Linked DNA regions of Ovis aries. The protein of the gene in region 6 interacts with the protein of the main gene of each other region in a biochemical or structural test. Links are inferred from orthologs where the notes say so. Each region holds a gene or a part of one and is shown on either strand. Other genes may lie near its edges.

What was found.
Region 1: the proteins of CTNNB1 (region 6) and MAGI1 form a complex in vitro, tested with the Homo sapiens proteins (2 studies listed by BioGRID and IntAct, with this or other methods). The link is inferred for Ovis aries from reciprocal best matches to the Homo sapiens genes CTNNB1 and MAGI1.
Region 2: of the proteins of CTNNB1 (region 6) and AKT1, one has a biochemical effect on the other in vitro, tested with the Homo sapiens proteins (2 studies listed by BioGRID). The link is inferred for Ovis aries from reciprocal best matches to the Homo sapiens genes CTNNB1 and AKT1.
Region 3: the proteins of CTNNB1 (region 6) and NEK2 form a complex in vitro, tested with the Homo sapiens proteins (2 studies listed by BioGRID, with this or other methods). The link is inferred for Ovis aries from reciprocal best matches to the Homo sapiens genes CTNNB1 and NEK2.
Region 4: the proteins of CTNNB1 (region 6) and CHUK form a complex in vitro, tested with the Homo sapiens proteins (2 studies listed by BioGRID, with this or other methods). The link is inferred for Ovis aries from reciprocal best matches to the Homo sapiens genes CTNNB1 and CHUK.
Region 5: the proteins of CTNNB1 (region 6) and TCF7L1 are reported together in a solved structure, tested with the Homo sapiens proteins (2 studies listed by BioGRID, with this or other methods). The link is inferred for Ovis aries from reciprocal best matches to the Homo sapiens genes CTNNB1 and TCF7L1.
Region 7: of the proteins of CTNNB1 (region 6) and UBE2B, one has a biochemical effect on the other in vitro, tested with the Homo sapiens proteins (2 studies listed by BioGRID, with this or other methods). The link is inferred for Ovis aries from reciprocal best matches to the Homo sapiens genes CTNNB1 and UBE2B.

Annotation. Positions count from the first base shown.
Region 1 is NC_056072.1:35,499,128-35,503,279, reverse strand, and holds the start of MAGI1 (membrane-associated guanylate kinase, WW and PDZ domain-containing protein 1), read right to left. Parts: upstream 2,801-4,152; 5' UTR 2,197-2,800; coding exon 1,884-2,196; intron 1-1,883. UniProt on the Homo sapiens protein: Plays a role in coupling actin fibers to cell junctions in endothelial cells, via its interaction with AMOTL2 and CDH5. May regulate acid-induced ASIC3 currents by modulating its expression at the cell surface.
Region 2 is NC_056071.1:66,978,450-66,982,430, reverse strand, and holds the start of AKT1 (RAC-alpha serine/threonine-protein kinase), read left to right. Parts: upstream 1-1,181; 5' UTR 1,182-1,410; intron 1,411-3,981. UniProt on the Homo sapiens protein: AKT1 is one of 3 closely related serine/threonine-protein kinases (AKT1, AKT2 and AKT3) called the AKT kinase, and which regulate many processes including metabolism, proliferation, cell survival, growth and angiogenesis.
Region 3 is NC_056065.1:71,252,353-71,256,518, forward strand, and holds the start of NEK2 (serine/threonine-protein kinase Nek2), read left to right. Parts: upstream 1-1,366; 5' UTR 1,367-1,457; coding exon 1,458-1,553; intron 1,554-2,755; coding exon 2,756-2,973; intron 2,974-3,254; coding exon 3,255-3,495; intron 3,496-4,166. UniProt on the Homo sapiens protein: Protein kinase which is involved in the control of centrosome separation and bipolar spindle formation in mitotic cells and chromatin condensation in meiotic cells.
Region 4 is NC_056075.1:20,910,791-20,914,290, forward strand, and holds part of CHUK (inhibitor of nuclear factor kappa-B kinase subunit alpha), read right to left. Parts: intron 2,055-3,500; coding exon 1,960-2,054; intron 403-1,959; coding exon 288-402; intron 1-287.
Region 5 is NC_056056.1:57,176,871-57,180,370, reverse strand, and holds the end of TCF7L1 (transcription factor 7-like 1), read right to left. Parts: intron 3,318-3,500; coding exon 3,239-3,317; intron 1,543-3,238; coding exon 1,109-1,542; 3' UTR 147-1,108; downstream 1-146. UniProt on the Homo sapiens protein: Participates in the Wnt signaling pathway. Binds to DNA and acts as a repressor in the absence of CTNNB1, and as an activator in its presence.
Region 6 is NC_056072.1:13,857,380-13,860,879, forward strand, and holds part of CTNNB1 (catenin beta-1), read left to right. Parts: intron 1-1,008; coding exon 1,009-1,153; intron 1,154-3,500. UniProt on the Homo sapiens protein: Key downstream component of the canonical Wnt signaling pathway.
Region 7 is NC_056058.1:43,592,772-43,596,144, reverse strand, and holds the end of UBE2B (ubiquitin-conjugating enzyme E2 B), read right to left. Parts: exon of another isoform or gene 2,400-3,373; coding exon 2,311-2,399; exon of another isoform or gene 1,050-2,310; coding exon 921-1,049; 3' UTR 501-920; downstream 1-500. UniProt on the Homo sapiens protein: E2 ubiquitin-conjugating enzyme that accepts ubiquitin from the ubiquitin-activating enzyme E1 and transfers it to a E3 ubiquitin-protein ligase. In vitro catalyzes 'Lys-11'-, as well as 'Lys-48'- and 'Lys-63'-linked polyubiquitination.

The DNA.
Region 1 (4,152 bases), about 22 Mb from region 6:
TTAAAGCTAAACTTAAAAGCTAGACATAGAAATAAATAACTGCCCCAACTTCACTTGAAACATAACAATAATAGCTGGTCTTTACTGAGCACTTATTATGTGTCAGGCACTATTCTGCACCCTTTATAAGTTTATGTAATACAAAACAGCCAGTTTACAGATAACGGGAGACATATTTCCAGGTGAGACAAGGTGTTGGACCTTAAGCAAAGCTGAGGTGGTGTGCAGTCAATGAGGCATATTCTCTCCTTTCAATGAGCTTACCACCTTGTATGGAAAGAAGGGAAGGGATCTAACGCATAGTTCAGAATAAGCAGAAAACTGACAAGACACACATTTAGGAGAGTCCAGAGGAACGCTGATTTCTTCATCCTGGCAGGGTGCCTGAAGGCTTCTTGGAGGAGGTGTGCAAGCAGATAATGAGGACACAAATGGAAGGAGATTTCCATAACTGTCAGTCCCTCAGCTCCCAAAGCTACCAAAAGGCCCGTCTCTTCTCCCTGTCCCCCTCCTCCACTTCATCTGGAACAGGCCTGTTTCCAAAAGAGGACTAGCTCAGCCTAGCCCTCCTTTCCTCTGACACAGTCCTCCAGCTGCTGCTTGCCCTTTCAAGCACGCAGGCACATGTGTGAACTTTTCACCAGGGCTCAACCAGGGAAGAACCTGCATCACGGTGCTTGGTCATACAAGGGACCCCTTTAAGGGAATCCATTCCTTCTCTACTTCTCTACTCAGGGACAGCCCTGAGCCTATACCAAACTAAGATGCAAGGGACTCCCCGCAACCAGCAGCCATATCACTCCTCTCCAAGCTTCCCAGAGGTGAATTTGCTTCCACTCCCTTCTCTTAAGTGCACCCCTCAGGTCTCCCACACTCATCCTCTTCCTCCTTGGTGGTTAAGGCTCTGCAGCAAGGATTTTCAAACCCTCACTCTTGGCATCTGTGTGACCTTGGGCAAGTAACTGAACCAATATCAGTAAATGAAACAATGTCAGTCCCAGCTTCCTTATCGGTAACATAAGGGGGTTTAGAAGAAACACTCGCTCTCAGAATTGTTGTGCATCAGAACAAAAGAGTGCAAGGAAAGCATTTTACATAGAACCTGACACATAATAAGTGAATAAGAAACAGCAGCTATAATCATCTTCACAGGGATGATGACGATGGTTGCAGTGATGGGGATGGTGGTGATGTTGGTGGCAGTATAAACTCGGGCTTGAATGGCGCTGAAATACCCTCTCTATTCTCTCCCCCCACGCCACCCAAAAGTCTGGGGCCAGGCCACACGGGTTGAGACACATGCGTCATCCAGCTGTGGGGTGAATGCAAGATCTTCAAGCTGCAAGCTTTAGGACTGAAAGGTGGTGATGCCCTAGCCCACCTGGCCGGTCACGGGGTGATGCTGATTTTTTGATTAAGGATGTCCAACAATCAAAGACCCTCACCTCCTTCATACCCATTCTCTAGGTCTGAAAACAAATAAGAGATCAAAGAACACAGTAGCTGCGCCCGCTGCAACACTCGCCCAGGGAGCCAGGAGAGCGTCCACTTTGCCCCTGCCTCAGTTCCCCAACTCTCCTCCCGGTGCAGGCAAGCCACTGCTGCGCTTGGTTGCAGAGATAACAGGTTAGCAAACCGGGCCAGGGAAAAATCTCTGCGCTTCCCCGAGCTAACCCAAGCCCCTCTTCCCAACGCAGGTGGGCAAGCAACCCACAGCCTCTCAACAACTTGGTGTATTTCACCATCACTGGGCACACGGCCTCAACATCGCCCCTACGCCGCGTTCGCAGAAGAAAAGCGGGAAATCGGAAGGGGGGCGGGGGGGAGACTTCTCAGGCCGGTTCTTTTCTGGGGGCGCCTCCAGGAGGCGCGGCCCGACTTACCTTGTCTGACGGCTTTGAAGGTGACGGCCTCCTTGCAGCTGTCGATGACTCCCAGTACGTCATAGCGGGGCAAGCCGGACACCCGGATCCCCTGCACCTCCAGTAGCAACTCGCCCTCGCTCAGCCGAGGGCCCTCGCCGCCGCCGGGAAGCCCCGCCGCTTCGGTAGCCGTCACCGCTCCGACATACGGAAACTCTCCGTTCTCCGCGCCCCCCAGCACCGTCACCCCCAGCTCTCCCTGGGGTCCCCGTTTTACGGTGCATTCGTGAACCCTGCTAGTCCAGTGGTTCTTCTTCTGGATCACTTTCGACATGATGAGTTACACCCCTACTACGCCCGCCAAAAAAAATAATGATAAAATGAGAGACAGGTGCCCCCCACAGCACAAGCCCCCAAGCCCCTGCTGGTTCATGGGAGAGACATCTCCCCCCACAAACAACGCAGCGGGAGAGAGAAACTTGGCAGCCTCGCTCCCTTGCACACACTCGCTCACTCAAGCCATCATAAAACAAACTTTCTGGGCTTCCCCGCGAGCCCTGCACAGGCGCCCGCGAGCTTTGTTTGCATTCCGGTGCTTCTCGGTCCACGTTCCGGCGCCCGACCGTGCTCTCTGGGACCAGAGTCCACTCTGCGCAGCTTGGATTATTTTTTTTTTTCCTTCCTTTCTTTCTTGCCTCTTAGAAATGCGGTGTCTCCTCTTTGCCTCCCGCCTGGGTCGCCTTTCCTCGCTGGCGGGCAGTTTCTGAGGGTGAGGGAAGCCCTTCTAGGCAGTTGCTGGGAGCCCTGGAGACGCGGTAGCTGAGCGGGGGCGGGGGGGACAGGAGGGAAGTGCCTGCGTCCCCTTTAAGCAGATACAAAGGCTCGGCTTGTTTTGTTACAGTTCATTCTATTCCGCGCCGCCGAGCGCAGCGGCCGGCAAGAGGAGACGCGCGCGCATGCGCCCCGCGACCGCCTGCCGGCCGGCCCGCCCCACCCCGCCTTCCCGAAGTGAGAGATTCCAATGTGCTTCCCGTTGGGTCCTAAGTCCGACTTCTCCAGGATCAGCCACTTTTCTCCCCCTTCACACACCCTTCTCATTCCTACTTTTATTTCAGTGCTCACGACTCTGCATAGCCCCTTCGGGGGTCTGGGAGAGGAGGAAGTGTTTTACTCCAACTGACTGCAACTTAAAAACATGGGCAATCTGCTTGGGTATTTTAAAACCATTTCAAACAGGTGGGGGTTGGGGAGGCGCACACTCACCCTCGCGCTCACACTCACGCACACACGCACGCACACACGCCGGCCTAAGCTTCCTTACCGCCCTCGGCCAGTGGCTGGCCACGCTGTCCGTCACCCAGCCCACCCCCCGCCGCAGTTCCCTCTAATACCCTGACCCCAACCCAGAGGAGTGCGCCTGCCCGGCTTCCCCCCAACCTGCACTGTGAGGGCGGGTTCTGGTCTTTGAGTAGGGTGTGCCCCAGCCTCTGCGACCCTGGGGAGGGGGGGCCGTGGTGGTCCCCCAAATGGGATCCGTCACACGCCCACACACGTATACACACACTTATCTGCATCCTTAAACTTTAGGGCCAACTTTTCTGGACGCAGATAAAGTATAAGGCGAGGGAAAGAAGCCTAAAAGCAAGAGAGGCTTGGGGTCTTCAACCGAAAAGGGTCTAGCTCTTTAAAACTGGCGGCCAGAGACCTCTGGAACCAGGCGTCTGTCCTGGACTCAAGTTCCTGGCTAAGCTGGGCAGCCTTTGGACCCGCCCCGGGGCCAGGAGATAAGGATCACTCCTGGGTCTGGGATCTGCACCCAAGTCCTGGCGCCCGCGGGGGCGTGGGCGCGGCAGCCACCTCTCGGAATTCACAGCCTGGAGTTGCTGTTGCCTCGGGCACCGCCCGAGGGCGGGGGTAGAGCCAGCTAATGTCCCTGCTAGGTTTCGGAACGTGCTCGGGGGCTGCGGACAGAAAGAATATCCTGCACCGGCAAGGCTACCCTCCCTAAATACTCCCCAATCGGCCTGGGCGATAGTCTCCTAAACATTTTCTTTTCCTCAGTGATTTATAACTTATTTATCCATCTTGGGTCACAAGAGAGATTTCAAGTGCTAAATAAGGGAGGTGAGTGTAAAGGATTCCGAAAGGACGGGGTGCCGCAGAGGTCACGGTTGAGAGCTGGGCTCTGAGGTTTAGGTTCTCACCGGTCCAGTGTCCGTGTGATCTTGACCAAGCGCTGGGACCCCTCAGACCCTGAGTTTCTTAAGTAAGTGTAACAATACCTGACAAG
Region 2 (3,981 bases), on a different chromosome or scaffold from region 6:
AGGGAGGGACAGCTGCGGACGCTGTCCTGGGCGCTCAGCGGCTTCCACCTCTGACCCAGATGAAGTGTCTATACCCCACCCCTCCCAACCAGGCTAAAACTCTGACTCTGGAGGAAGAACAAAAATGTCCTCCTCCCCCCAAATACACACCAATGCCAGGAAGGGAGCCCCCAAGTCTTCCTTTCGTGAAGGGATCGCCGTCAACTTGGAGGCCTGGGGGTGGGGGGAGGGGCAGCTGTTGGAAAAGGTTGTGCACAGCAGGGCCCAGGGAGGGGTGGGGTGGCGGCTTGTCTGCAGTGCCATGCTGGCCCCTTCACTGGCCCCCAGCGCCCTACAAGTGCCCAGGGCCCCTGGGGACATCAGGGAGGACCCTGGTCTGCCTCAAGCCGTCACAGCCCTTTTCTGGAGACTGCCCTCCTGCACCCCCTCTGGGTGTCTGTACTGACTCAGGGGGGCCCTCCAGGCCAGGTGTGCTGAATGGCGACCCCCTCCCCCGCCCCCACCCCCACCCCGGGCCCTGGGCCCTCTTTCTTCTTGGTCCCCACGTGAGGTCCCTGTTCGCTTTTGTAGCTGCCAGATGTCTGCGTGTTCCTTCTGGGGAGGGGAGCTTCTGGAAGACCCCCACCAGGAATGAGGGCCCAGCCCAGGGCCAGACCCAAGCAAGCCTTCAGCCCACAGACAGATGGCTGCCCACCGGCCAGCCGCCTGCATGCACCCCCCCCCCCCCCCACCCAAGGGGCCTGCGCTAGGCAAAGGGCCTTGGACTGGGTCTGTTAGGCCCACCGTGGCCCCTCGAGCCACCAGCTCCCCAGCTTGGGGCATATTCTAAAAGTCAGACTAACCCACACTCCAGCCCTGCTCCCGCCGGAGGGAGTCAGAAGCAGGCGGCTCAGCCCACGCCGGCCCTGTTAACAGGGTCGAGGCCGGACTGGTCCGAGAAGTGCGGGCTGGCCGGACAAAACTGGGAAACCGAGGCCAGGGAGGCCGCGGCCCGGAGGCAGGCCCCGGGGAGGGGCGGGAGCGGCCGGGCTCCGCCGGCGGCCCGGCCCGGCCCCAGGGACTCCCGCCGCGCGCTCCCGCTCCCCGTGGAGGGGACGCCCCGGGCGGCGGAGGCGGATGTGGGCGGGCGGCCGGGCGGGGCGGGCGCGGGGCGGGGAGAGGGCGGGCCGGCGGGGCCGAGCGCGGCGGGCGGGCGGCCGGCCCAGCGCAGCCGCGCAGCCAGCGCATCCCGAGGAGCGAGCCGGCGGCCGCGCACGAGCTCCGGGCCCGGCGGCGCGCGAGGCCCGCCCGAGCAGCGCCCGCCGCGGCCTCCAGCCCGGCCCCGGCCGGCCGGTCCGCGGGGATGCGGAGCAGCGGGCGCCGGAGGCCGCGGCCCGGCTAGGCCCGCGCTCTCGCCGGACGCGGCGCCCGGTGAGTCCCCGCCCGCCCGCCGCCCGCCGCCGGGGCCCGGATTTCCTCCCCGCGGCCGGGCCGCTTTGTTCGCGGCCGCCCGGGCCGGGGCGCGGGCCGCGCGCGGCCGGAATGGAGGCGCGGGAGCAGGAAGTGGCCGAGAGAGGCCTGGGCGGGGAAGGCGCGGGCCGGGCGGGCGGCGGGGCGGCGGGCCTCCGGCCCCAGCCTCCCGCATGACCTTGGGGAAGCGGCTCCGGCGGGCGAGGCCCGGGCCGGGGCGGAGGGGTGCGGCCGCTCGCCGGGGTCCGTGGCCGGGGGTCCGTGGCGGCCGAGGGCTCCCCGGGCGCCCGGCCAGCGGGGTCCCGGCGCACACTAGGTGCTCGGGGGCCCGGGGAAAAGACTCGACCCGGCTCTCGTTCAAGTTTGTGGGTGGGCCCTTGGAAGGGACTTCATTTTCCCATGGACAAAAAGTTGTCCGTGGTGGCTGGGTGCCTAGGCCCTCCCACAAAGGACTACAGCCTTCCTGGGCCCTGAGACTGGTTCTGGAGCTGGGTGGGTTCGCGAGTGCTGCCCACCCATCCCCGAGGCTGGGGCTCCTGCCCCCGGTTGGGGGGATCCCGGGGCAGCTGGTGAACTTGGTGGGTGGGATTGGGTCCTGGCAGTGCTGGTGGACAGAGCTGGGGTTGTGGGCTTGTGCTCTGGGGCCAGAGATGCCCCCCCGGCGGTCACCCCTGGCCCCCTCCCACCTTGCTCAGGCCACTCCTAGCTGCCCTGGGCCTCTGTTTCAAATGAAGAGTGGGGTGCACTGGTGGGGCTTGGTCCCCTGCCCCCTAGCTGAACATCTAGTGTATAAACTGGTGTTTTGGAGGCCGAGGGAGGGGGCCTTTCGGAGCAGAGATTATTATTTTTTGGAAGGTCGTGACTTGAACAGTCATAGCAGTAACTCACCTTCGTGGTGAAGGCACTCCCAGGACGGAAGCGCAGAAGCAGAGGTCCCCTCGAGCCGCCCGTCCCGAGGGGAGGCAGCCCCGGCCCCGGCGGTGTGCACCTTTCTGCGCACAGGCACACCGCCCTGTGTGTGCGCGCAGACAGATTTTTACACGCGGGGCTCTCCACAGCTGTTTGGCCCTGTCAGCAGCAGACCCATTCAGCCCCGTGGGGGGGGGGGGGCCCACCCGTGCAGAGGTCTTTGAGTCCAGCCCTCTGCCTCCAGGCCACGCCCACTCGAGTGTCACCAGAGCCCCCTGTGCGAGCCAGGCTGGCTCTGAGTCCAGGCCCTGGTGGTCCCTCCTCCAGTCTTCCTTGCCACGCCTGCCTGTGGGCCCGCTGACGGGGGTCAGACACAAAGCAGAGCGTGGGTCCTCCTGCCCTTCTAGGTTTAGCCCAGGATGGACAGTGCACAGTGGCTTTCTCCAGGAGCCCAGGAAGGTGGGCTGTGGGAGATGCGTGCAGGGAGTGTGTGTAGGAAGAGTGTATATGTAGGTATATACCATGTTGGAGATACTTAGGGGTGTCTGCCCAGCTTGAGGGTCCCAGAGAGGAGTCTTTCCAGGCCTACCCTCCTGAGTGCCCAACTGGAAGGGTAGCGGAGGACTGCTTGTGGGGAGAATGCTGTTTCCCAGGATGCTCAGAACCAGTGATGTGGGCAGTGGGTTTTGAGGGGTGCCTAGGAGTTCATCCAACAGGGGAGCAGAGGGGTGGGCCACACAGGATCAATGGCCAAAGGGTCTGCTCACGAGGAGGCTGCTGGTGGGCCTCCGAAGGGCTGGTGCCGGGCCTCCGTGTTTGCACAGTCCCCCCATCCCTGGTTTGTTGCCTGCTGAATGCTGTAATTATGGGTCTGTAACCACCCTGGACTGGGTGCTCCTCGCAGACAGGACTCGTCTGAACCTCTCTTTGTCCCCAGTGCCCAGTGCTGAGCCTGGCAAAACCAGAGATGCCTGGTCCATGTTGGCCGAATGAATGAACTGGTTCAGGCCGGCGGGGCACTGAGGTTTAGGGGGGGGCCTGGGGTTTCTCTGGGGTGGGTTTGTGAGGGGTCGTGTGTTGCCCTGGAGGGCTCCAGTTCGTCTGCAGCAGCCGCCTGCCTGCCTGGCCCTGCCTTCATGCTGGAACTCCTCTGCTTCCCAGTCTGGGACGGAGAGGAGGAGGCCTGGGTCCTTCTCGGGAACGCCCACCTTGGGGCAGGAGCACCATGGACGGGGAGACCTGGGTACCCTCGCCAGGGGACTGCGGAGGCCAGGAGGTGTGGGCCGAAGCAGTCAGGGGGACTGCCTGGAAGAGAGGGCTTCTGCTGGGTTGGCAGGTTAGGGCGGCTGGGATATACCATGCGGGGCCTTTTGGGGACAGGGGTCATTTGTACAGAGGTCGGGGGAGGTGGGAATGGTCAGAGACGGGGACAGTGAGCTCTGAGGGCTTTGGGGTCCGGGAGGGGTGGTGGCGGGGGGGCTTACAGCCTGGGGGCAGGGCAGGCCTGGCCCTGGGAGCCGTGTGAGTGACTTGGGATCTGGAGCCGGGGTGGGAAGGCCATGTGTGGGGAGGCGGCAGCTCTGAAGGCTAAGGGGGACAGGCCACGTGGGAAGATGCGCCTGA
Region 3 (4,166 bases), on a different chromosome or scaffold from region 6:
AGTTTCCTTTTAATCCCATGCTAAACAGATATTTAAAGAAAATTGACCTATTTGTGCATTGCCAAAGTATTAGCCTTCTTGTAGTGTATAAATTCCTCCATCCACCCCTTAGATAGAAGGCTCCAGGTGCAGTATCCCAGGTAAAAGTGGGACAATTCCAGCTGGCAGGGTGAGTTGAAAATGTTGGTTTTTGTGCACACTCCAAGAGGCTGCATTCAACAAAGTGTTTCAATTATTTATGTGCCTGGCACCTCAGATAATCTATTCAGAGTGCAAAGGTAGTCTTTTCTAACAACAACAACAAATTTTAAGTCTTAAAGGTAAACCTGACTGTCTCTGCCTTACATTGTTGTTTAGTCACTAAGCTGTGTCCAACTCCTTTGTGACCCCACGGACTGTAGCCCACCAGGCCCCTCTGTCCCTAAGATTTCCCAGACAAGAATATTGTGGGCTGCCAGTTCCTTCTCCAGGGGATCTTCCCCACCCAGGGATCAAACCCGCATCTCCTGCATTGGCAGGCACATTGTTTTACCACCGAGCTACCAGGTAAGCCCATCTCTATCTTATAGAACCACCATATTCTTCTGGGTATTTCAAAACATCAAGGACTTCCATATTCCATTTTCCACCTAGAGATTTTGTACACGTCTGGTGTTCAAAAATATACTCTCTCTAGGACGGCTGCACCCTAAAGTCATGTGAAAACTTTAAATCATTACTATAAATATCCACTGTTTTTGCATTGAGTCCTCGCTTTTGGACCTAAAGCAAATACTGTGACCTTTCTACCCTTCCGTTTCTTCATGGGAAATAACGCTAATTCCTGTATTACAAACCAGACAATACATGTAAAGTGCTTGGCACAATCCCTCAGCACTGTCGGCCTCACTCGCGCACCCTTTACAGAGGGCCGGTACTTTTCACCTCTGCACTCAGCTTTTCTCCCAGGATTTAGTATATGACCCCGCCCGGGTTCAGGGGGCGGGAATCTGAGAGCGGAGGGCGCGTGCCGGAGAGTGAGAGGTCACAGTGCAAAGGTCAGAAGGCAGTCGGTTGAGGCTGTGCGCTAATAACTGAAGAAAGATCTCTGGACTTAGGTTGCCTCGGCAACCTCAGCGGAGGAGGCACAAGGTGGCGGGGACCGCCCACTCGCTGCAGCTTTCGGTCCCCAGCCCACCTTGGGCTTTAGCTCCGCCCCTTTCTCCCTGGAGGTTGGCAGCGGAAGTCGACACAGACGCCGACGCGGTTGCCTAGCGATACCTTTTTCCCAAGATGCCCAGCGTGTTGTGTTCTTCTTAACCAATTAGAGAGGCGAAGCGGCCTCACCGCGAGCCAATAGGCTGCGAGGTCGGGGCCCGCGACGGTTAAACCGGGGCTGCAGATCAGGGCGGCCGAGCGTCGGGGCTGGAGCTCTGAGGAGACTATACGGCCCGCAGACGTCCTGCGCGGGCCCCGCCATGCCGACTCGGGTGGAGGACTACGAGGTGCTGTACACCATTGGCACCGGCTCCTACGGCCGCTGCCAGAAGATCCGCAGGAAGAGCGACGGCAAGGTGAGCGCGGGCCTGGTCCCTGCCTCCGCCCCCAGGCCGCCCAGAGGAAGCAGGGAGCCTGGCGGTGTGCATCTGAAAAGCAGGGTGCTCAGAAGAGCCAGCCTTCTCCCCCAGATCTGTGTCTGTCCTGGGTCTCTCGAGGGATGGGAAGCCGCATCCTTTTTTTTTTTTTTTTTTAAATTTGTGAATCTGTGCCTTAATTCTTTGTTGTTGTTGTTCTGTCGCTCAGTCGTGTCCGACTCTACAACCTTGTGGACTGCAGCACGCCAGGCTTCCCTGTCTTTCACCAGCTCCCGGAGTTTGCCCAAGTTCATGTCCATTGAGTCGGTGATGCCTTCCAACCATCTCGTCCTCTGTCGTCCTCTTCTCCTCCTGCCCTCAGTCTTTCCCAGCATCAGAGTCTTTTCCAGTGTCAGCTCTTATCACGTGGCCAAAGTAAAACTAATAAAATGTGCCAAGTAGAATGTATGTATATATATATGTATATTTCTTCTTCTCCTGTCTTTTTTCCATTCTCTTCCATTTTCTTCCTTTTTTCTGCTTTGACCTGCCATGGGCCTTCTGTTGGTGACTGGTAGCTGACTCCTGAGCTGTTTTTAGAGAAATGTAATTCTCTATCATAACCATCAGAACCTAGAACTTTTATGTCTTGTAGTCAGAATTCATTTAGTTCAGTTCAGTTCAGTCGCTCAGTCGTGTCCGACTCTTTGCGACTCCATGAATCGCAGCTAGCCAGGCCTCCCTGTCCATCACCAACTCATTATTCCCATTGTTAGATTCATATCTCCCAAGGTGTGTGGGTAGACCCACACAGAAAAATAATGGAAAGGAAGTTAGCTCAGATGGAAGGGTCTTTACTAAGTTCTCTTACCCTAGAAATTTTGACTAGTTGGAATGGTTGGGGACTTCAATCGCCTTTGCTCCAGCTTTGATTAGAGTACCTTCTGCCAACCTCCCACTAGGCATTGAGGGCAGAGGGTTGGGGGCGGCCTAACCTCCCTCGTCACCCTCTGTTGCATCATTCACTGCTTAAAAATTAGGGGAAGGTTATGGAAATAAACTCAGGGGTCCTCAGCTCATTAAACTAAATTAGATAAATAGTGACTGTATGATCTGTTTACTAGATAAGTAACTTTTTTTTTTAATTTGAAAAATTTGGAGTTATAATGAGTTCATTTATACCTTGGAAATTTTTATTTCAGATATTAGTTTGGAAAGAACTTGACTATGGCTCCATGACAGAAACTGAGAAACAAATGCTTGTTTCTGAAGTGAATTTGCTTCGGGAGCTGAAACATCCAAACATTGTCCGCTACTATGATAGAATTATTGACCGGACCAACACGACCCTGTACATTGTCATGGAATGCTGCGAAGGAGGAGACCTGGCTGGTGTGATTTCAAAGGGAACCAAGGAAAGGTAAGATAAATTCATCTCTTAAATGGGCCTAGTTTTGTTTCTGGAAACATCCTATATTAGGATCAGGGACAAAGTACTTAGTAATGGGGAAGAGTCGTCTTGTGTTTGTTCAGTGGGTCCACAGTACTTTAGAAAATCCCTGGTAAGTCAACACTTGAATTTCATATCCAAATAATTTATTTCCCTATGTGTATACTTAGAAAACTAGATAATTCACATCCTGTCATCTTTGTAATGGTTTCATTCAGCAGATACATGCTACATAACTGCTTTGATTTCAGACAATACTTGGATGAAGAGTTTGTTCTTCGTGTGATGGCTCAGTTGACTCTGGCCCTAAAGGAATGTCACAGACGAAGTGATGGCGGCCACACTGTGCTGCATCGGGATCTGAAACCAGCCAATGTCTTTCTGGATGGCAAGCAGAACGTTAAGCTTGGAGACTTTGGGCTAGCTAGAATATTAAACCATGATACAAGTTTTGCGAAAACATTTGTTGGCACACCTTATTACATGTCTCCTGTAAGTATTTCAAAATGTATATACTTTTAAAACATCTTAATGCTAAGCATTCAAGCAAGGAAATTTATTTCTTTGTTTAGTAATATCTAATAGCCAAGAATTAATAATACTGTTTTATTTTAAATTGATAATTTTCAAATGGACCGTCAGACCACTAAAAGATTATTATTATTTTTTGTTTTGATGTGGACCATTTTTAAAGTCTTTATTGAATGTGTTACAGTATTGCTTCTGTTGTTTATGCTTTGTTTTTTTGGCCACAAGGCATGTGGGATCTTAGCTCCCCTACCAGGGAGCAAACCTGCACTCCCTGCATTGGAAGGCGAAGTCTTAACCACTGGACCCCCAGGGAAGTCCCACCACCAGACCGCTAAACTTCTATATCAGCAATGCAAGTCAGACTTTCACTGAATGGCTGCCACGTGCTAAGCTTGGGGATCATAGAGATGAAATAGGTTTTGTCTCTGCCCTTAAGTACAGTACTTCCAAAGTGCCATAGGTCCTGGACACCAGCTTGTTCTCAGCTGGAGTGATAGTTTAAAATGCAGAGTCCTGGGCTCCAGTCCAGGGACTTAGGACCTCTGGACTGGTCTTTGCACTCAACTTTTTATCTTTTTGTCCCCTACCTTTTTATTTTGGACTCTGTATTTTAGCAGACTCCTTAGATGATT
Region 4 (3,500 bases), on a different chromosome or scaffold from region 6:
AGTCCCATCCTGAAACACCACTGCCACCAACAAAAATATTCATGTTCTAAAGCAGGGGTCAGCAAACATTACCTGTAAAGGGCCAGAGAGTGAGTTCTTTAGGCTTTGCAAGTCATGCAATCTCTGGCACCACTACTCAACTCTGCTACTATTTTAAGAAAGCAGCCACAAAAACAGATAACAAGCCATAGTTTACTGACTCTTACTCTAGATTATTGTACTGAGTGGGATTCAAAGACTGCTAGAGTTCATGTTACTATCTCATCATCTCAAAACATCCACACTACCTTCCGGAGATCTCCTCCAGAACAATATTCCATTGCTAGAAGAGGCACATCGTTAATCAAAAAATTCAATTCCTCAGGAACGTCACAGGCCTTTACAACATTGGCGTGGTTCAACCTAACAAGGGGAAAGCATTATAATAAAAGATTTGTTTCCAGTGAAAAGGGACTCAGTTTGAAATAGTAGTTAATTGGGGGCAGTGAGACGAAAGACTGACTTTATTTATAATATTCTAATTTCTCATTTGTATAATTAAAAATTGATACTTGTTTAAAAATTTTTAATTTGTGTACAAATACATGTTTTTCAATAAATATTGAATCACATTATATATTGTTTCCTAACATCTTTTTTTAAACTTAGTAATATATCAAATCACCATCATCATCACACAATGGTCTCTAAACTAGAATAGATTCCCAGGGCCCAAGGACCTAAAGAAACAGAATTTCCATGTGTAGAGCCTGAGGATTTGTATTGTTAAAAAGTTTTTCTAGTGATTCTGCCACACAGCCAAGTTTGAGAACCATTAAAATGCATTGAGAACACTGAAGTCAGAAAGTGCTTATTTCAACTCCAGACTCTATTACCTATCAGTTGTATGACTCTATAAGCTTCAACTTTTTCTTTAGTAATGAGACACAGGGTTGCTGTGACAACTAGAACATGGGTAAGCCCTTATTAGCACTCTACCTGTGGAGGTTTTAAAACATAGCCACTTCTCCCTTCAAAAGCTTAATTCTCTTTCCCTGAAGTAGAGGCTGTATTTAGTGACTGATTTCTAATAAATAGAAATTATTTGGAAAGGATAGAGCATAGCTTCTGAAGGAAGATCATAAAAATATGTCTGCCTGCTCTCTCTCTCTCTCTCAGATCACTGACTTTGGGGAAAGTTAGCTGCTATGTTATGAAGACATTCAAATTTCCCTATGGAGAGAGAGGCACATGTGGTGGGGAACCGATGCCTCTAACCAACAGACACTAAATGAGCTTTGGAGTGGATACTCCAGCCCCACTCAAGCCTTTGGATAACTGCAGCCCCAGTCAACATTTTGAGATGTTTCAGGAGGCATCTCTTAAGTCAAAACCACCTAAGTCACTCCCAAATTCCTAAACCACAGAAAGTGTGAGACACCAAACTTCTGTTGTTTTAACCCACTAAGCTTAAGGATAATTTTTTACAAAGCAATAGATACAATGTTTAACAAAAGTAGGTGAGAGTAAAAATATTTTTTTAATGAAAGTAGTGATTGCTATTTAACTATAAAGTATAACAGATAAGCACTGCCTGATACCCAAAAGAAACAGATTCTGCCCTCAGAAAGCTGAGTCTGATAATACCTAACTGACATTTTGTGTTTTTAGAGCAGAGAAAGGTTTACAGCAGGGCCATGCAAGGAAATGGTGGCTCATGCTCTAAAAAACCCCAAGTTCCCTGAAGGGCTTTTTGTTTTTCTTCAATATTATACTATCATTACCTAGATAACTATTTAAACAAAACCTACTTAAGCATGATGTGATGTTATTATTTGAAATAAAACACACAAATTTAATGAGAAAGAGAAAAATATGTTCCTCAAAAGATCCTAAGAATGGATTCCTAGCCACCTTCCCTATGATGACATCTGGCTGGGATGCAAAACTGGGGAAATTTAAGTCATCAAGTACACTTACTTCTTCATGATCTGGATTTCATGGCACCACCGTTCTCTATTTTTGGTACTTAGCTCTAGGCGACAAGACTTAATTGCTATTTTGAGATCAAGTTCCTGCCAAAATAGAAAATCAACAGAAGATTATAAATTAGGTTCTTGTGCAGATTTACTTGCTATCAAAGAGATGCCAACTTGGGAAAACAAAACTCTTTTAGCTTTACTAATTAAACATATTTATCCACAGTTCTCTTGAGTCAATGCTTCTGCCAAGTAAGCCATGAGACTAAACTAACGTTTTTAAACTGAACTTCAAACACCAAAGCACACAAGCAAAAAGTTACTGAGGCTGATCCTGTAACAAATGTCTTCAGAACACCATCTTATACATGCTGCTAGAATATAAAAAGACTGTCTCCCCAACAACCCCTTTCTGAATTTAGTCAAGGTAGCTAAAAAGGGTCCCAGGTTCCAGCATAACTAGAATGCAGAGAATGATTCAGGGCTCCCTGCCTCAACAGTAAGAAATAGTTTTAATATGACCAAATCTAATACAAAAAACTCCAAAACTATTTCCTAATTTTTGCATTTCAAATGACATTAAAAAACTCCTAACAATGGTTGTATGTTTCCATGTCTAGAAAACAGACCTAACAGAACTTGCCTCTATGACTAGTAATTTAGCCAATTCTAAGTGAAATTAAACCCAACCTGATGCACATTACAGGAAGTAGCCGGACCTCATCACATTCTGGCAACAGTAATAATGCAGCCCACGAACAGGAAGCAAGACACAACTTTTATAGGATGGTCTGAAATGGGGGACAGCAAGAAATAAGATAACTGACATAAAGAGAGAGAGTGAGGAATGAGGCCAGACTACAATCCAACCTAACCAGGGTCCTCCCTCCCTTCAACCTCTCGTTATGAGCAGATACTGAGCTGCTGCTAGGTCCCGTGTACGTTATCACTATGGAGTCAATCTGGTACAACCATGAACAACATTAAGTCCTAAATTCTCATATGAGTAAGGCAGAAAACTATCTATTTCAAAAAGATTTCATCCTAAAGGATCCTTCAACCTCTCGGTTTATATTTCAGCTACTCTCTGAAGGCCTTCCTCACTTTTCACAGAGAATGCTCTGTGGAAAGTTTATACATGTCCAGCAAAACAAAAAAAGAAGAGTTCGGTGCTTAAAAAAAAAAGGTAATAGTAATATGCAGGAGATGAATGGTGGTGATGGCTGCACAAAATGTGAATGTACTTAATGCCACAGAACTGTACACCTACAGGTAGCTAAATGCAAATGTTATGCACATTTTACCACAATAAAAAATGGGAACATACTAAGCTGAATTAGTTTCTATTAGTTCTTTACTATAGGACTTCACAGAGCTTTTAATACGCTATTGTGGGTTATGACTTTGCAAATGATGAAATATTATATGCAGCATTTATAAAATGTACTGACCACAGTATCCTTTTTTCAAAGCATTTTACAAGATTAGTTTTTCCAAACACATTGTGAGAACTGCCACCCTATGTCCTAGGAAGAGTTCTTG
Region 5 (3,500 bases), on a different chromosome or scaffold from region 6:
GGATTAGATTTTTCTAGTTCTGTCAGGCATGACTTACATCCCCTTCCAAAAGAGGCATTCCTCTTTTGCATTCTGTAAAAATCTTACACAGCCTTTGGTGTGAAGAAAGGGGCTTGAGTCAACAAAGGACTAAAATACTCAGCAAAGTCTTGCAACTGCAATTTTATTTTCTTTTGTGAAAATAAACAACTGGGAGTTTAAATTGCTCAAAAAAAACCCCATAAAAATGAAAAGAAATACACACAGAAGAAGCATGTGAGGTGACTGGGGAGGGAGGAGGGTCTCAGAGCTTTGGCAGATTGTGCTAGCACATTCCCGGGTGACAGGAGCCAGACCTGTCTGCCACTCCGGGGCTGTGAGGGGACATCTTGACTGGTAAGGGGATGGAACACAGGCTTCTTCGCTGAGGAAGTGGCAGGCACCTTGAGTCCCTTTAAATGCAGGGGAGAACCATTTTAGAGGACCTCTTCCTCCACAGAAAGCTGGAGGCTGGGGGGTGGGGGTGGTTTAGGGCCACTGAGGGAGAAGTGTGCTGGTGGAGACAAAGAGGCCAAGGTGTTTCTCACGTGGTGACAGCCTTACACTGGGCAGAGGACGAAGATGAAGGCATGAACCCACAGGAGCAAAACGTGGGCTAAGTCAAAGGGAATGTCAAGGAATGGGTTGTAGACGAAGAGGCTAGAAATGGCAACAAGGGCCAACGTGTAAGCTGGAATGAGGGGAGCCAGGAAGCAGGGGGTGGGGGCTGGATGTGTGAGAGGATGGGAAGAGGAGGGAGGGCAGAGAGTCCAGGAGGTAGAGAGTGGGGTGCCTTCTGCCCAGGTCCATCCACCACTGCACACACAGGAAGAATAACACACTACTTTTCAGTTCTCGTTTTCCTTTTTTTTTTTTTTTAAAGATTTTTGTTTGTTTGTTTTTTAAAAAAAGACTTAAGATCAGCTACTGGTTACATCTACAAACCGTAAAGTGCTGCTGTTACCAGTCACTTTACAGAACAGTCCAGAGTGGTCAAATATTGACCAATAAAGTTTCCTTTTTTTTTTCCTTCTGCATCCTTACTACTCGATGAGTCACGTGACAGCCTGCATAGGTCAAGGGGGGCAGCTTAGTGGGCAGACTTGGTGACCAAGGACAGAGGCTGGGCCTGGAGCACGGGGAGGGCCTGGTGGGCGTGGAGCGTGGCGGGGAAGGATGGGGGGGACGTCAGCAGAGCTGTGGGCACAGACCCCAAAGGGAGGGGCCGGGACAGGAGCGGGGGCTGGCTGCCCATCTGGCCAGAAGAGGTGGCGGCAGCCTTTGATGACAGGAAGGCGGCTGAGTGGAGAGCCAGCTGGGCCCGGGTCTCTGGCTTGGTGGTGAGGGAGAGGGGCTGGGCTTGCTCCGAGTGGGTGGCGGCTGGGGCGGCCGGGGAGGCCAAGGCCGCGGAGGGGGTAGCTGGGGAGTCCAGCATGCTGCCGTGGGAGGAAGCTGGGCTGTCACAGGGCTTCTCGGGGGGCAGGTACTGGACACATGGCTTCTTGCTTTTGGAGGCCAGAGCACCTGCGGGGGTGGGGGTGGGGGGACACAAACAAGAAAGTCAGCCGCTAGGAACGCTGGGAAAGGCGGAAGTAGTACATAAGACCCGGGAAACAAGCATGCGTAGAGGGAGGGACGTGAGGCCCTGAAATGACGCCTAAGACTTTCAGTACACCTAGAGCACAGAAAAGGGCCAATACCAAAATGCCAGAGACCCCGTTCAGTATCTGCCTGGAGGTAAAATAGCTGAGCTTATCAAATTATCGTGCTGTGCTGTGCTCAGTGATGTCTGCCTCCTTGCACCGCTATGGAGTGTAGCCCGTCAGGCTTTTCTGTCCCTGGAATTCTCCCCGCAAAAATAATGGAGTGGGTTGCCATTTCCTTCTCTAGCAAATTATCATCTTCCTGCCTAAATCTTATCATTTGGGGGATGGATCTCCATTCAGTTTCTTTAAAATCTTTGGTTTATGATCCTCCTAGAGATAGTACAGCGCCTGCCACGCACCAATTCAACAGATTTTGCGTCATATACATAGTTAATTTATGTGTACTCCTATGGAGATAAATAAATTATAGAGATATTAGAAAGCTAGGAAAGGAAGTGAAAGGAAAGGCGATAAAAAGCACTTTGTGTGTGTGTCTGTGTTAGCTGCTCAGTCACGTCTCACTGTTCACAACCCTATGGACTGTAGCTCACCAGGCTCCTCTGTCCATGGGATTCTCCAGGCAAGAATACTGGAGTGGGTTGCCATTCCCTTCTCCAGGGATCTTCCCTACCCAGGGATTGAACCCAGGTCTCCTGCATTGCAGAAGGATTCTTCGCCACCTGTGAAGCCCTTTAGATGGAACTAAACTAGTTCTACCCTTGTGCTGGAATGAGCGTGAGATGGGAGGTGTGACTGAAATACTGGCCAAGGAAGGGGCTAGTCTGTGCTGGGTGAGATTCTGATGTAAAAAGATATTTGTGGCACAAAAGGGCCTTCCTAATCCAAGCAAATGATTGTTTCTGATATTCGGCCAACCAAACATTGAAGGAAAACCGCAATCTACTGGATTCACTGAAAGGTGGTATGCCAGTCTCTAAGGGGCTGGGTTCCTAAGGGAATTTCAAGGCTCATTTCAACAACATTCAGTTTTTACTTTTACTGCATTGATTTTAGAACCTAACCCTCAATAAGATGAAACTCAACTGAATTGAAGAGCACCTTTTGAGTGACAAAGCGCTGGACCAAACCCTCCCTCCATTTACCAAGCAGCATGACCAGGAAAATCCTTTCACTTCTCTGAGCCTCTAAACTGATCATCTCCAGAAGGGGGGTAATAATAACACCCACCTGAGTATACCCAAGTGGTACTACTGGTTAAGAACCCTCCTGCCAATGCATGTAGACATAAGAGCAGCAGGTTCAATCCCTGGGTCAGGAAGAGCCCCTGGTGGAGGGCATGACAACCCATTCCAATATTCTTGCCTGGAGAATCCCCATGGACAGACAGGCCTGGTGGGATGCAATCCATAGGGTCGCAAAGAGTCGGACATGATGGAAGTGACTTAGCACGCATGCACAAGTGTACATGAGGCAGAGGCCTTGAAAATGGCAGCTATTAATATTAAAACACAGCGTTGACATGGTGTCCATCAGAGAGCCATGCACAGGGTGCTGGCAGGCGTAGCTGACACAGTGGGAAAAAGTAAAGACGCAGTTCCCTCCTGAAGACTCACCATCTGCCTCCTGGACTTGCTGCTGCTGGGACTGTGTCTGGGACAGCTGCTTTTCTCGCTTCCTCTTCTTTTTCTTACCCTGAAAGATATAGCCAAAGGAAAAGGTAATAACCAGGGACAGAATAACGGCTTTTCTGATGGATTCAGTTATGAAGTGGGGTTGACAGGATATTTTCTGTACCAGGCGCCCAGGTCCCATTCTGTGCAGCAGCCTCATGCGGAGACACAGTGAGCCTTTCTGGGGGGCCACCTCCCTCCCCTC
Region 6 (3,500 bases):
ACATCTCTGTTTAACTGTTTGTGTTGGTGTGTACACTGTACTAGGTGATAGGGACATAGCATGCAAGCTGCTTTTAAAGCTTTCATTGTTGGGTGGAAGAGAGACACTGAAATAATAAGCTAATTTATTTAGTTCAAGTTTTAGGAGGAAGTAGAAGGGCTATATGAGAGCATGTAAATGAACCAGACCCTTTTTTGAGGGTTTATGCATATTTCTTGGAGAAAGTGATGGATGAGTTCACAGCTCTTATGGATAAGAAGGGATTGACTAAGGTGAATGAAGGTTAGGGAGAGGAAATGGCATCTGTGACAGTTCTCCTGAGGGAGGGGAGGACCAGGTGAGGTTTGGAAATTCAAGAAATACAGAGAGTAAGGAAGAGAAAGGGTTTGAGATAAGACTGTTGAGATAGGGCAGATCCTGCAGGGCTTAGTGGAACATGTTAAAAGAATAATGGGAAACAGTTCTTAGCAGAAGCATGCAGTGAAAAGATTTGTCTTTGGAAATCGGGGAAAAGTCAGGAGGTGGGGTATGCAGGGAAGGAAAGGTGGGGATAAATATTTAATGCTGTCTCTTTTTTAGGTGGATATGATGAGGAAAGGCCAAGAGCCAAAGCATATATTAGGAGTTTTCATTAATAAGTGCCCATTCTGGTTCAGATTTCCATGCAGCAAATCAGCCGTGACATAACTTTCGTATCTGGGCATTACTGTTCAAACATGGATTTTGGGGTTTTTTTTTCCTTTTACTATGGTCAGTGTGGGAAGAATAATACTGGGCCAGAATTTATATATTTTGGGGAGGACTGAGGTACATGAATGTGAGTGAAATTTTGTAGAAGCAGAGCTTAAATATGACCCCAGTCTGGAGGTCTAGTTAATGATGACCAGGTATACATTTATGTCACTAAGCTGCTGAAATTCTTATATGATAAAATCAGTTGGTAATAAAGGCTTTTCTCGGGCATTTGATCAAGGTTCCATGATTAACAATACATACACATCTTTCTAGCTCATCATTCTGGCTAGTGGTGGACCTCAAGCTCTAGTGAATATAATGAGGACCTACACTTACGAGAAACTACTGTGGACCACAAGCAGAGTGCTGAAGGTGCTGTCTGTGTGCTCTAGTAACAAGCCGGCTATTGTAGAAGCTGGTAAGTGTACTTGGCTATTCTGGGTTCTCATGCGTGCAGCACATGTAGTTCTCATTAGGTTGCCTTTCTTAGGAAAAGGGTGATCAAACTGACCTTCACAGGCTGAAAGTAGACGGTTGTATTCAGTTTGAAGCCAAAGTTGCATTCAGACAAAGGATGTGTTCTGCTTGCCACGTTCTTTGGTGCTGTTCAAGCCTAGTTCAGGCAGAGATCATATTACCAGAAACGATGGCTGATAATAGGCTTGATAACAGCTATTCCAGAAATACCTGAAATGTTTGTTTAAAAAAAAAATACAGATTTTTAGACTGACTTAATCAGAATTCCTGGAGTATTGAAGTGACAAGAGAGTCAGTAATAGTTGGAAATGCCTGGGACTGGAGGCCTAGGAATCTCGATTATAAGAAGTTTCCCATTGGGGAGGGAGGTGGGAGGGGTTTCAGGATGGGGAGCACATGTACACCCATGGCTGATTCATGTCAGTATATGGCGAAAACCACTACAATATTGTAGTTAATTAGCCTCCAATTAAAATAATTAAAAAAAATTTCCGAGGTTATTCTGATGCTCATTTGTTTATTCTGAAAATATTCAGCCCCTGTGTTTCAAGCTGGTATGCAGTGGGCAACAAAATAGGTATGGTCCCCGTATTTATTCTTACAGGCTGGTGAAGGAGACAGAAATCTGCAAGATGATGGGGTGATTACAAATTGGAATGAGTGTCACGAGAGAAATGAACAGCAAATAGTGATGCAGAGTTAATGGGGCGGGAATGCCCTTCTCTCAGAGGGGGATGTTAAATGAAATCACAGAATGAGAGGGCTTCATCTATATGAGAAGTAAGGATTAAGTGCAAGCCAGATGGTCCTAAAGGTAGGAAAGAAATCGTTGCATTCTAGGTGCTGAAGAGGAAGTCTGTGTAACTAGAACCTAGTGAGTAGTGGGATGAATAGCTCAGGGTGAGGGTGATGGGCCAGAGCCAGGCAGGCTGTGTTGTGCCGGACTTTCTAGGTCCCTGGATGATGTTTATTCATACTTTATTGCAGCTTTGGAAACACAGGTGTTGAATGCTTAGGTCAATTTAAGATGAAGTCCAAATCCTAAAGGGTTCCTAAAGGTTATGCTAAAGAATTCAGTCTTTATCTTGTAATGAGAAGTTGTTGTCGGCTACAGCATCACAGTGAGGTGTTTGGAATATTAATATTAGCATCATGTGACAGTTTGACCAGAGGCAAGCAGACCAGGCTGATGGGATGTGTTATAGGCTTTTAGGAATGAAGTCATTTGATATTAAAAATATGTAGCAAAGGATGAATGTTATTTAGGGAGTTGATATCTGTGAAGTGACTAAAAGGTCAGTAGGTAGCTGGAAATGTTTGCTTCTGGAATGCTAGGGAAGACTGGGTAGGGATAGAGATTAGGGAGTTCCTTTCTTAGTGGATGTGGGTAAGGGCTTTGGGAAGTCATTGGGGTGTCTCAAAGCCATCTTCACCCCAGGCATGCTCAATCAGAATGTGTGTGTGTAAGTCTCTGCAGGCTGTTCGGAAAGGCATCTGGAAGTAAAATCCCCTCTCGTAGAGTTGATGGTTCTAGTAGAGGGAGAGAAGGGAGACAGGAACCAAGTCATTGTGAAACTACTGAGCGTCAGCCCTGAGCACTCTGTTAGCAGCTGGAGCTACTAGGAGGAAGGCACCAGATAGGGAGGGTCTGGTCTGAGTGGTGGGCTCCATTATAGCTGTGAAAAGTGCTGTGAAAGAAAAGTACAAGGTGCGTGAGAATTACAGCAAGTTGACCCAATCTAATTGAGGAAATAAAACAGACCTGAAAAGATAAACAAGGAGACAAGGGTATATCCCGCTGCATTTGGGTAAAGAACCTGCCTGCCAATGCAGGAGGCAAGAGACACAGGTTCGATTCCTGAGTGGAGAAGATCCCCTGAAGAAGGAAATGGCAACCTACTCCAGTATTCTTGCCTGGGGAATTCCATAGATAGAGGAGCCTGGTAGGCTACAGTTGATAGGATTGCAAAGAGACACAACTGAAGTGACTTAGCATGCATAGCATTGCATGGCTGACCTAACTTAATTGAGGAAATAAAACAGATCTGAAAAGATAAACAAGGAGACAAGAGAAAGTATATCCCACTGCATTTAGAAGTGAGAAAGAGATGGTGAGGTTAAGCTAGCCAGTGTGTGGGGAATTGAGCTTCCGTTTAGACTCCTCTGCAGTGTAAATGTCCTTCATTAGGGTCCTGAACAAGAGGAGGTTGTGAATCTTTGAAGAGCATCTTTTGCCTTTAATACAGCCCCCGAGAGTAAGCATTCTGGTGCTGTCTTTTTAGACTGTG
Region 7 (3,373 bases), on a different chromosome or scaffold from region 6:
AAGATTCCTTCCAAATATCTGCCTTGTTCAAACCAATGCAACAAATTCTTATATTGTTAATTGTAGGGCATGGATTTTTTTAAAATGTTGATCGTTTTACTTTCTTCATTATCAAAAATCTTTTAAAGTGTTATCAAGCAGCAAAGTAAGTTGCATAAGCTCTCTGCTCAAGGTAGAGGTGCCAATACCCCATGGTGGAGGTGCAAACTGTGAAATCAAAGGGTGCAGTTTAACAGTAAGTAGTGCATGAAGAAACAATAATAAGTGGCCTAAATACAGAGCTGGACAGAATCAAACCAGTTATAATTGCTCAACTAAAACTAATAAAGGTACATTCAAAATACAGTTTGAGATTATAATTGGTTATTTAGAATCAAATCTGAATTTCTTGATAAAATATAAATCTGTTCTTTTGAAACTGGAAATGAAACTATCAATTGATAGAGAGCTAGAGACTTATTAACCCCTCCTACTTAGATAAGGAAATAAGTGACAAAGTCTCTTGCACTGAAGTATGTATTTTAACAGCTTTACATGTAATATTCATATATAAAAAACTTTAAGTGCTTTTCTCCAATTTAAAAATCTAAAGAATTCAAAAATAAGGCATTCAATATTTGAAAAAAGTACAGATTTACAAAATGTGTATATTCTGTCATGAAAACTCCACACCAACATTATACACTTGGAAAAAAATACAAACAGGATATATTACAAATTTATGTAAGCAATAACTTAGTTCACACCATGCAATAAAAAGTACATTAATCAAGATACACAAGCTTTTGTAGGTTCTAAACTGAAGGACTTTTTTTCTGCAGAATCCTTAAAACCTGTGGCACTTAAAATTTGTTAGCCTTTCTACTGAGAGGTAAATTATACACAACAATGATGAAAAAGATTAACAGACCAGTTGTCTATTATGAATCATTCCAGCTTTGTTCAACAATGGCCGAAACTCTTTTCTCATATTCTCGTTTGTTTTCCTGATAAAGCTGTGCTGCCTGACTATTGGCTGGACTATTTGGATTCGGTTCATCCAGCAGAGACTAGAAGGAAAGAAAGAAGGAAAAACACATATGTAGAGTTATTTTTTTATATTAACATGGGTCAGATATGGAGCACAAAAGTTACAGAAAACAGAAATTACTTAATGAAGAAAGAAATTAGTATGTCTCATGTATTTTTCAGACCTAAACACTTTAGTTTGATAAAGACAGTAAGAAGTTTCCTATTGCTACAAAACTTCAGTTTTCAAAACAGATAGCTCTCAATTGCCTTAAGACCTCTAATTTCAAAGAAATTGGAAAAGAACAAACATTAATTCAGCATACTGCGATATTAAACGGGAACTAAACAATTTGATTTGGTTAATATACAATGTCTACAAAATACCTCAGCAACTAACATTTTCCAAAGTTAAACTCTATTATTGTGATAGGTTTGCAAATTCCTGGCAGTAAGTTGGGTAGTATACCTTATTTCCTTTAATCAACAAAACATATACACCTAGCAGCAAGGGAATATATTAATAACAGCAAGACTGAAAATACTATTTATGACTCAAATTAAAACAGAAGTGTGACAGAAAAAACTTGAAGGCCACAAACCAAAATATCACATCTGCTCCTTTCAAATCCATGTAACTAAAACTTGACTCCACCTCAAACCTTCCTCCTAAACTGTCATTCAAGGTCAACTCTGAAATATTCTGCCAGAGTGCTTTGGTGGATAGTTACATTCTTTTCCTTTGAAACAGCATTTCCCGGATGGGGCAAAATGATGCTTTTCTGCACTGCAGTTTCTTGAGGTCCCTATGTTTTTACTAAACAATTGTCTTTCTCTCTCCCCAAGATTTTTTCATCTTTCTCCATCACCTCTGGCTATGCTTTCTAGGCATGAATAATACTTGACCGGTGAGGGAATTTCCTGGTGGTCTAGTGGTTATAACTCTGCACTTGCACCACAGGGGGCACGAGTTCTATCTTTGGTTGGGGAACTAGGACCCCAAGGCTGCAAGATGCAGCGAAAAACACCCAAAACCCAAAGAAACAAAACAAAATTACTTGATCTGTGAGAACAATTTATACTTTATCAGGAAAATGATCATGGATTTGATCCAACATGATCACTAATGAAAAAGCAGATCAGCTGTATGAAAATCCTGAGGATTCTGTATGAGGTTTGCCACTGGTAACCTTAGTGTTGGGAGTGTTAGTTTGCTCACTTGGCCTTTAAATTGATCCTAAAAGAGTCAATTATATTCCATAGAATCTTGAAAAATTAAGATGCATTCTAACACATGCTTACCTGAATTGATGTTAAGATAGAAGATACATCGTATGTTGGACTCCATCTATTCTGAAGGATATCTAAACATATGCTACCATCAGCATATACTGCAAAGACAACACTAAAATTGGTTACATGTTAACTTGGTCATATCTAATAATTAAACAGTAATTTTTTTTTTTTTACCACAAACAGAATGCCTGGCTCAGTCAGAAGCCTTGAACACTGGTTAATGACTAAAACTTTCTCACAGGAAAATCAGTCTCAAACTAACGACTGTTTACCACATACCTTTTGATGAGGAGGCTGAGTAAGTTAAATTTTTTCAACACATGACATATAGCAAATCTGTTTAAATTCCACACTTCTAAATATTCCTAAATAAAGCTCTTGGGGGGGGCTAATTTTTTGAAATAGCAATTCTACTTTAAAAGTAGTAATGATGCACATGCGAAATTTTATTTACAGCACATTCTCTATCACACTCTCCACAGAAGTGAAAAACTGGAAACGGTGTGTGGTCCCCAGTGAGGGGACTGGCTGAGTAACAGTACATCATTAATGGCACAGACCACTACTGCTGCCAGAAACGACACACGTCTACCATACGTTAATTAACGCAGAATGACAACCCTAATATATTACATTAATAAGTTTCCAATTACTTATATAATCCCATTTCTTATAAAGAATCATTTACAAATACTTTAATTTGAAGTACAGGCAGTCACAAAAATGTGTAAGACTCAAAGCCAAAATGTAGATATCTGTAAATAGTAGGATTATGAAGGATCTTATTTACCTTCACTTGTACTTTGATTTGTTTTTCCAATAAGTATGCATTCCTCTCATAATAAAAATAAGAATCAAGTGATTACTATTTTAAAAGTTTAACATTTGAGAGTGGATTTTTCCCCCTCTTGATTATGAGAATACAAACAATGAATACAAATTTTTATCCACTTGCCAGATTATGTATATGTACAATAAATTTACAAAAATAGAATCACTGTTGACAAAGGATAAGTGCATTCGAATGTTATCAATACTATCAAATTGTGGAAAGCTTCACAGAACAGTC